2 linked regions of the Oryctolagus cuniculus genome follow. The protein of the gene in region 1 interacts with the protein of each later gene in a pairwise test. Links are inferred from orthologs where the notes say so. Each region holds a gene or a part of one and is shown on either strand. Other genes may lie near its edges. The genes, in order: SETDB2 and ARL14EP.

Region 1 (4,412 bases):
TACATAATGTACTGTTGACTTGGTTAGATCATCACTCAAGACAGTATCTTGACTTTATTCTCATTCCTCTCAAAACTGCTAGTTATTCACAAAATAGCCTTTAATCAGCTTTTCAGGTCTGATAAATTTTCTCTCAAATGAAATAAGATACAGGTTTTCTACTGTAAATTCTTTTTAAAAAATTGGAATGAAAATGACATAATTCCTGCTTCTTTCCTCCCACCCTAAAAAGAAGACAGAACTTAAGGGGCTTTCCCATACAGAATCCTTCCCTTATTCTGTGAGGAGTACCCAAGCATACCATGGTACACCCCCAAAATACATACATTTCAACACAGAGAAACCAGGAAATCAAGAGGGCAAAACAATTCTTTCACTTTCCTTTTTCTGTTGTTTAGGAAAAGACCACAGCAGGCAGCAGCACTGCGGTGCAGTGGGTTAGGCCACCTATCCGGAGGCTGGTACCCCTTATCTGAGCGCAGGCTCCGCTCAGTTTCCCATCCAGCTCCTTTGCCAATGTGTCTGGGAAAGCAGCCAATGATGGCCCACTGCTAGGGCCCCTGCCATCAATGTGGGGAACCAGGATAGAGTTTCTGGCTTCCATCTGTCAGTCAACCATTTGGGAAGTGAAGATCTCTCCTTGTCTGCCTTTCAGTAAGTAAATAAATATTTAAGAAGAAAGAAAAGGAAAGGGAGGGCGACAAAGGAGGGGGAAGTGGTGATGGTTGATGGAGTAGGGAGGCGGGCGAGGGGACGAGGGAACAAAGCAGCCCAGCCCTTCCCTCGATAACAAAGAGAAGGAAGAGGTCCCTCTGGAGCCTGAGTGGTGAGGCGTCGCCCTCTCCCCTTCCACTAGCAGCTTTGTTCCTGTCTGAATCACGCAGCCCACCAGCCAGCCTCCTTTAGCTAAAGGGGGCTGATGTTCAGAATCTTTCCGCTACGAAAGTCACTGCAAAAGCCCTCCGGGCCCGAAGAATCAGCATCAATGCATCAAAGCCTCCTCTAACCCGATAACCGACACACCAAAGCCTGGGATCCCCACCCCCCACCCCCGCCATAACCACCATTCCTCGCTCTCCCTCGCCAGGGACGAGACTACAGGAAATCTATCCTTTTGGGCAAGTGAGAACTAGCTGGGTTTCCTTCAGGCCCCTCCTCTCTACCATTGCTCCCCCAGCACCCGTCTTCAAAGACAAGCCACGACAGGAGCTTTCAACGCCCAAAGAGCCCAGCCCAAGCCACACACAAGATGGCAGCCACACACCTACCGAAGGGAACAGCGGCGGCGCCACCACACCAGAGAAGCCGGCCTCCAAACTGCGGATAACCCGATTGGCCTAGCGCGAGAGCGCGAGACAAGCAGAGAGCGCTGGCGGCCAATCAGGAGACGGCGCATCAGGCACCGCCCCGGAGTCTGAGGTACGCGCGCGGCGCCTCTGATGCGTGGGTTTAGCGGGGAAGGAAACCAATGGGCTCCCTGCCCTGTGGCTGGGGACCTTGGCGTTCGACTCCTCCCATATAGCGAGCGCTTTAAGAGGGCCTGAGCTTTAGCGGTTGCGCGCTGCTACTAACTTCCCGGCTGAGGCGAGGCGACGAGACACAGTTTTGGGGTTAGTAAATGGTGAAGTACTACTTTCCCGCCAGAGGGTACCTGCGGCCTGGGGTTTCGGCGGCGTGGAGACAAAGTAGCCGAACCCGTCGGGGACTCCTAGCCTTGCCATCCCTCCCGGGAGAGCACCGCCCTCACCTCTGACTAGCGGCGAGCAGCCGAGCCCCCGCTGTGTGTGTGTGTGTGTGGCTCTCGGACGGTTCCTGCGGAGCCGTGGGAGGACGTGGGAACGCCGGGGAGCCCTCGACCCCAGCCCATGCAACCCTCCTTTTGCACCCAGGTGCAGTCCCGGGGTGCGGAGGGGTCCGCGAGAGCTCTGAATTCTCAGCCCTAACCCCGCCCCCGTTTCAGTCTCTTATCTTGCAGCGCACACCTTATTAAAAAGTGGTGATTCCTGAGCCGCTGGCTTCTGACTGCAGGCTAAAATCCAGAAGCAGAACTTGAAGGTTTAACCACTGTTTCCACAGGTAAGGTTACACCCAAACCTGAATATGTGAAAATCATTCATCCAAGATCACAGAGTTGAGGTTAGGTCCTCCGAGCGCCAGACTATAATAAGCACCTGCAGCCCAATAAGCAGTTAAGGAAGTGGGTGTGCAGGCATCTTCGGCGTGCGGAAATGAGCAGGGAGCTCTGTGTGTTAGAGTGGGTGAAGCCGAGGAGAGGGGTTCGGTGGAGCGGTGAGAACGTGGGCTCTGGAAATCGGGCTGCCCGGTTTCTTACCGTCCGTCATCTCGCTCTGACGTGCCTTAACTCCATCAGAAACCTCGTTCACCTCACAGGGTTGCTGTGCGGATTCACTAAGGACGCGGGAAGTACTTAGCAGCTGGCCTGACACGTGGTTTATTCTCAATAAACGTTCTCTCCTGTTACCAGAATTACAATAAGAAATGAGAGCATCTGGTAGGGCTGTCTTAGCCATTGCAGCCCATCGTCCTATATATAGGACGTCTCTAAGGACTTAAATTGAGCAATGCCGTTAATGGTTACTTTGATATGTCGTTGAAATATGCGCAGAGTTGACAGCTTGGGACTTACAGGGTTAGGGACCTGTTTTTACAAACAAAAGGGAACCATGTCTTGAAATGAAGCAGGCTGATTTTAATTAATTTTCTGCCAAATTGAAAAAATGAGAAGGGGGGAAAAGTGAACAAGTTTTCAAAGCCCTGTCTCTCTGAAATACTAACGCTGGTTGTCTGTGGCTGATGAGATTGTGAATGATTTCAATTCTCTTTTATATACTTTACTGTATTTCCCAAGTTTTCTTCACTAAGCATGTTTTCATAAATTCAGTGATTTTCAAAATCTCCTTTTGTGTGTACACAAGACAGATGAGAGCTTTTCAAAAATAAGGCTTTTAATGAGTGCTTAGATGAAAATCCAAGTTGATAGAACCTTTCTGAAAGGCAGTTTGGTGATATGTTCTCGATGGCTTTAAAATAGGCAATACTTTTCAAATTAAGCACACTTTTATATCCTACTTTTACCAAGTTAGACCCTTGCAGAGAAAGAGCATGATCCAGCTCCCTGAATGCCCCCTCACCCTGTCCCTCTGCCATGTGCCCCTGAGGACTTCAGGTCAGAGCCTTCTGGTTCTTTGTATCCTTACAAAGTAGAAACAGAAAAGGGTGCGTTCTATAACTTTGCTTCACTTGACAGTGTTTTCCCAGTGTATACGTGTTATTTATAGCTCAGCATCTTACTTACGGGCCATTTATTTTACCTGCTGCATACCATGATTGAACTATTCTGTTTATGTAAAATATTTCTGACACTTCTATAGGTTTTTATATTTAATTATGTTATGTGCTTTTAAGGGGACCACCCTAGGTTATTTCTAGTTTTTCACCTTACAAACAAAAAAAGGAGTTTTTGTGCTTTTATTCCTGTGCTGTTTCTCAAGGATATATATCTGAAAATGGAATTGCTTGGTTTTAAGTTGTAAGCATTATTAGTTTTAGCAGGTCATACTAAATTTGCCTCCACAGTTCAGTTTTCCCACAATCCAGATCAACACCAGATATTCTGAATTTTCACCCATCTGATGGCTGAAAATGATTTGTAAATTGTCATTCTGTAACTTAAGGCTCAAATATTTATTAATACGTATTCACCTATAATTTATATACATTTCTATAATTTTTTAAAAAGCATACTTTTTTATATAAACTTTTAATTTCAGAATAGTTTTAACTTTACAAAACAAAAGTTGTGGAGTAGTACAAAGAGTTACAACCAACTTCCCCTATTATTAATATCTTATATTAATATGATTATTGGGTCATCTTTTTCTTAATAATTTGAGAAACTATGTGTCCTGGATACTATATATCTTGTTCATTTTTTAAATCTCTTTGGTGTCTATGGTTAGTTGTGCTTCCTTTTTGTTGCTATTGTTCCAATAAACAGATCTTCAAAAAGCTAATGGAAGAGGTAATTTAAGGAAAAAATTGCATGAATTCCAAATTTTTTTGCACTAAAATAAGATCTTTCAACTCCATTTTTCCATGCCTTTTTTTTTTTTTTTTTTTAAAGATTTATTTATTTGTTAGGCAGAGGCAGAGAGAAGGAACCATCGGATGGTTCACTCTCCAAATGGCCGCAAGGGCTGGAGCTGAGCCGATCCAAAGCCAGGAGCTTCCTCTGGATTTCCCATGTGGGTGCAGGGGCCCAAGCACTTGGGCCATCTTCTACTGCTTTCCCAGGCCATAGCAGAGAGCAAGATTGGAAATAGAGCAGCCGGGACTTGAACCAGTGCCCATATGGGATGTTGGCACTGCAGGCGATAGCTTTACCTGCTATG
Region 2 (4,237 bases), on another chromosome or scaffold:
CGCATCTATCTAATAGCGCAGGTCTATGCCATTTTCAAAGCACTTTCCTCCCTGCTGAAATCTCCCCTACAGTCCTTATAAGTGGAGAATTCTGATGTGGCAGATAGGATATTTGAACACTGCTTAACTAGTGTTGTAGATCGTGGTGTCATTGTCATTCCACTTGTTTGTACCCCTAAGTGTTTTCCCTCTGCTTTTCACTGGATATTTAAATTGGCTCAATAAGCCATATTATTCAAGAATCTTAATTTGGTCTGTGAGCCTCCTGATCCATTACCTCTACGACAATTTGCCTACTAGTTTATTTGAAGCCTTCCTGTTGCATCGAATTAGTTTCTCATTTGACAGTCCAATGCAAGTGTTAATTTACTTCCAGAATGCCCCTGCTTTAGTGCTTCTCATTTTATCCAGTTCATAAACCCGAGTTGCTATTGTGGAATTTATCACTCTACACTGATTAACTGTTTACCCTTTTCTCTCACTAGTCTATCAGCTATAAAATAAATTTTATATTTCTTGTCTCATTACTTAGTAGCAGACACTCTTGAGACACACTGCTTTTGTTTTTCTCTATTTCCTAGTTCTAAAATTGGTTGGGGAGCAGTTTGAAAGTGGTGCAGAGAACCATAGGCTCAATGGCAAAATCCAACCTTTTCGTAGGTGGACACATAGCATAACCAGCAAGCTGGGGCCTAGGACCTTATTTGCCTGTCTCTCCCTTTTCACAGGCAGGTTAAAACAATAGTTCTTGATGTTGTTTCCCTCCTGTTCCTACCTTAAAATAGTTAACCGGTCAAAAGTTCGGTCTATGGCACTTTGAGCACACAATGATTCCAAGTGAATCAAATTCACCTTAAAATGGCACCTCCAGGTGGCAGACAACACAATTACATAAAGGATAATGTCTCTTCCCTCAGAAAACTTACAAGCGTCTTCCTGGATCCTACATCTTACTCAAAGTAACAACTATTTTTATAACATAATTTTAAAAGTGCAAGTTGTGATATATTCTGAGATCTTCTATCCCTTAAATCAAGGGTCCTTCCTTGAAAGCCTTTTAACTCATTCACTCTCCTTCAGGGGTTAGGCGCATTTGGGAGCAAAAGTTTGGTAACTTTGCGAAGACAATCCCAGTCAGCTGCACGTGTATTTCGTAAGAGAAAGTCCCCGGAGATTTTCCAATTACCTAAACTCGGAGAGGAGATGGCAAACGCGAGCCAGCGTCTGAAGCAACTATTGCCTCGTCTTGAATCATTTACCAATCCCGTCACCGCGCCCTTTCCGCCTCCGGAGGCCGCCCGGCTCTGTGCCGCTCTAGGCTTCTCTCGGGCTTCTCTTTATGGTAGCGCTGAGCCTCTCTAGCCTGCACCCACCATCCTCTCAATGGTAGCACGGAAACAAGCAGCAAAGGCGGGCCGGGTGTGAACTCTGGGGACACGGGTGCTTCCCTAACCCGGCGGAGGAGAGCTCAAGCTAAGGTACCAGGGGCCTGGGGACGGCTCTGGGAAGGAGTGGGGGGCACGAGAAGGGTTCCTAGGTCGGGAGGGAGACCGGGCGGCTCAGGGAGGTGGGAGCAGAGGCCCACACGTGAGGGGGATTCCAGCTGCCGCCGAAGGCCTCCTGCTACCTCCCGGGCTCTGGACCCTACCCGCGTCTTCACACCCACTTCCTTTAGGTCAGAAATTACCCCTGTCTCTGCCGCTGCCGCTCTCAGCCCCCGGCGATTGTCGCGAAACTCCAGAAACATTTTGGACCTCGCCGGCTTTGTTCTTAAGTCCCAGTCCTCTAGGCCTAGCTGTTCCAAACAGCTGTTCGGTGGAGGCGAAGGGCAGGTGATGTATTTTTTCATCCTAGCCTCGCGAACACGGGTGCCCAGTGGACGCATCTGGTGCTCTGAATAATCTTAATGTAGCTGAACTTGGGACGTTATGTGTATAACCACTGCAGAGTTGGGGTGGCGATAGTAACAGGATCCTGGAGACCTGGTCACGTTGATTTGGGGGGGATTCTGCCTTCTTGGTGTGAGATGTTGGCAGTTTCAGAACTTGTAACCACTCAGAAGACGTTGTCTATAGAGTACCTGTTTTGTGCCAAAGAGGCCACAACTGTAGGCAGGTCCTAGGGGATTCCTTAGTCCCACAGAGCATAATATATAATAAGAAAGACTAATAGTAACAAAAATAAATAAATAAATAAGCCCGTGATGAGTGCTAGGGAAAGGGAAGTTCATGAAGTCTCACATTGGTTGGAAGTTGAAAATAACACCATATAGCCCTTGCCTTCCAAAAGCTAAGAGGAAATAGAGAAGATGTTTCACTGTACTGTGAAAGTGTTGTGCATAACCAGAAAGAAGGACCTGTAATTGTATAGAGGTGAAGCTTCACCAGATAGGTAAAGACCATGGTGGGGCCTTAAAGGATATGGTAGCATTGCCTGGCGCAGAAAACCGGAGCTTTCCCAAGCAGAGAGGGCAATAGAAGGCGTAGTGTCAGATAACTTTGTAAGTAGTGTAGTTTGACCTGGAGTATGAGGGCATCACAACAGATAAGTCAGGTGTCTAGACATAGGAAGGAGTGAGTTTTTCATCAAAATGATTACAGTTCGGTTTCACAACCGCTTAGCTTCTTTGGTGTAAGTATTGTTTGGAGATCTTGGCCACATCAAGAATAAGGAGAGCCTTCTTCAGTCCTCTTGGTCTGGAAATAGCCTCTCAGTGTTGGAATCCCTCTTCTGCACTCAGTGATATTCAGGTCTCAGAGGGGTTTGGGAGCCTGAAGAGTGTGTTATATTGTCCAGAAAATTGACGGGAAAGTACCTGGGACAAAATACTTGAAAATCAGAGGGGAGTGCATTAGTTTGAACTTAAAGTATGAGGAGCTAATTGAGAGGAATTCTTAGTATGAAATAAAATACTGGTGGTTTTTTTTTGTTTTTGATTTTTTTTTTTTTTGGAAAATATGTTCATTCTGCAAATATGTTTTTGAGTATCAGACACTGCTGGACTCTGTAAGTAACTACAGCTGCAACCTTCAGTTTCTTTTCCTGTAACTACATAGTCAAGGTTGTTGTGAAGATTAATGAGATAATGTTTGTGCTTAGCACTATACCCGGCACTTACTGTGGCACTTTAACCAGATATTTTAAATGGTACCATGTATTATATTTTGGTTTTGAATTCTGTTTACCTCCCTTATTGGCCCTGAATCTTCCCACTCAGTTGGTGCCTACTCACGTGTAGCATGGATAATTAATATATGAAGATAATCATAAAAGCTTAACAGTTAAAATTTGCATGACTTTTGTGTAAATATGAGACCATAGCCAAAGCTGCTGATTTCAGTAATTGGGGTAGATGAAATTATTTTCATTAAATAAGAAATAGTCTGGGAAAATGCTTTTTAAATTGTTAAGACCCTATACAAAAAGAAACAATAACCCTAATTTTTTTCAAAAATGGTACACAAAAGCATTTTTCCATGAAATGTTTCTAGGCATGTGAGTGGACCTAAAAAGTAAATTCTTTTTTGTATAAATTTCCTGATAATGCTTCTTGCACCTTGGGGCAGGGAAGTCCTTTGAACTTCTGCCAAACTTAGGATAATATAGACAATTGTGTTGTTATCTGTAATTGTTATCTGTAGTTGTCCATTGTGGATGTATGTCTTAGCAGTTAACATGTCAATCAAGATGCCCCTATCCCATTTTGGAGTGCCTGGATTTTATACCTACCTCTACTTCCTTACTCAAGATTCCTCCTAATGTAGGCCCTGGGAGTTAGCAGTGATGGGAGACCTGGATTTAGTTCCCAGCTCCTGGCTTTGGCCAGGCCCAGTCCTAGTCCCAGCTGCCACCTGGGAAGTAAACCAGTTAATGGGAGCATTTTTTCATACTAACTCACTGCCTTGCAAATTTACAAAAATTGTCATGCAGGTTATTCCTACAGGTGCTTCTCCAAAAATTAAACTGATTGTAGCATGTGCCAACTGCTCAAAATAATTGTAAGCTCCTGTTTACAAGAGGGATGTTTTGAAAGACTGATAGGGTAATGACTATCTTGAAGAAGAAACAATTTAACTGCATTCTCCAATGAAGAGTCCAGGTTAATAGTGGTTTAATATTAATTAGAAAATTTATGGAAGGAAGAAAATTTATATTCTTTTCAAGAATGTCCAAGCAAAAACTTACTAGGAAAATTGACCCAAAATAAGTTAATCAGTTATGTTTTCAAGAGCATCTA

The links.
Region 2: the proteins of SETDB2 (region 1) and ARL14EP interact in binary tests that used the Homo sapiens proteins (3 or more experiments, as listed by UniProt). The two-hybrid records come from large-scale screens. The link is inferred for Oryctolagus cuniculus from reciprocal best matches to the Homo sapiens genes SETDB2 and ARL14EP.

Annotation. Positions count from the first base shown.
Region 1 is NC_091440.1:68,750,571-68,754,982, forward strand, and holds the start of SETDB2 (SET domain, bifurcated 2), read left to right. Parts: upstream 1-1,426; 5' UTR 1,427-1,610; exon of another isoform or gene 1,611-1,960; 5' UTR 1,961-2,076; intron 2,077-4,412. UniProt on the Homo sapiens protein: Histone methyltransferase involved in left-right axis specification in early development and mitosis. Specifically trimethylates 'Lys-9' of histone H3 (H3K9me3).
Region 2 is NC_091432.1:35,796,374-35,800,610, reverse strand, and holds the start of ARL14EP (ARL14 effector protein), read left to right. Parts: upstream 1-1,329; 5' UTR 1,330-1,478; intron 1,479-4,237.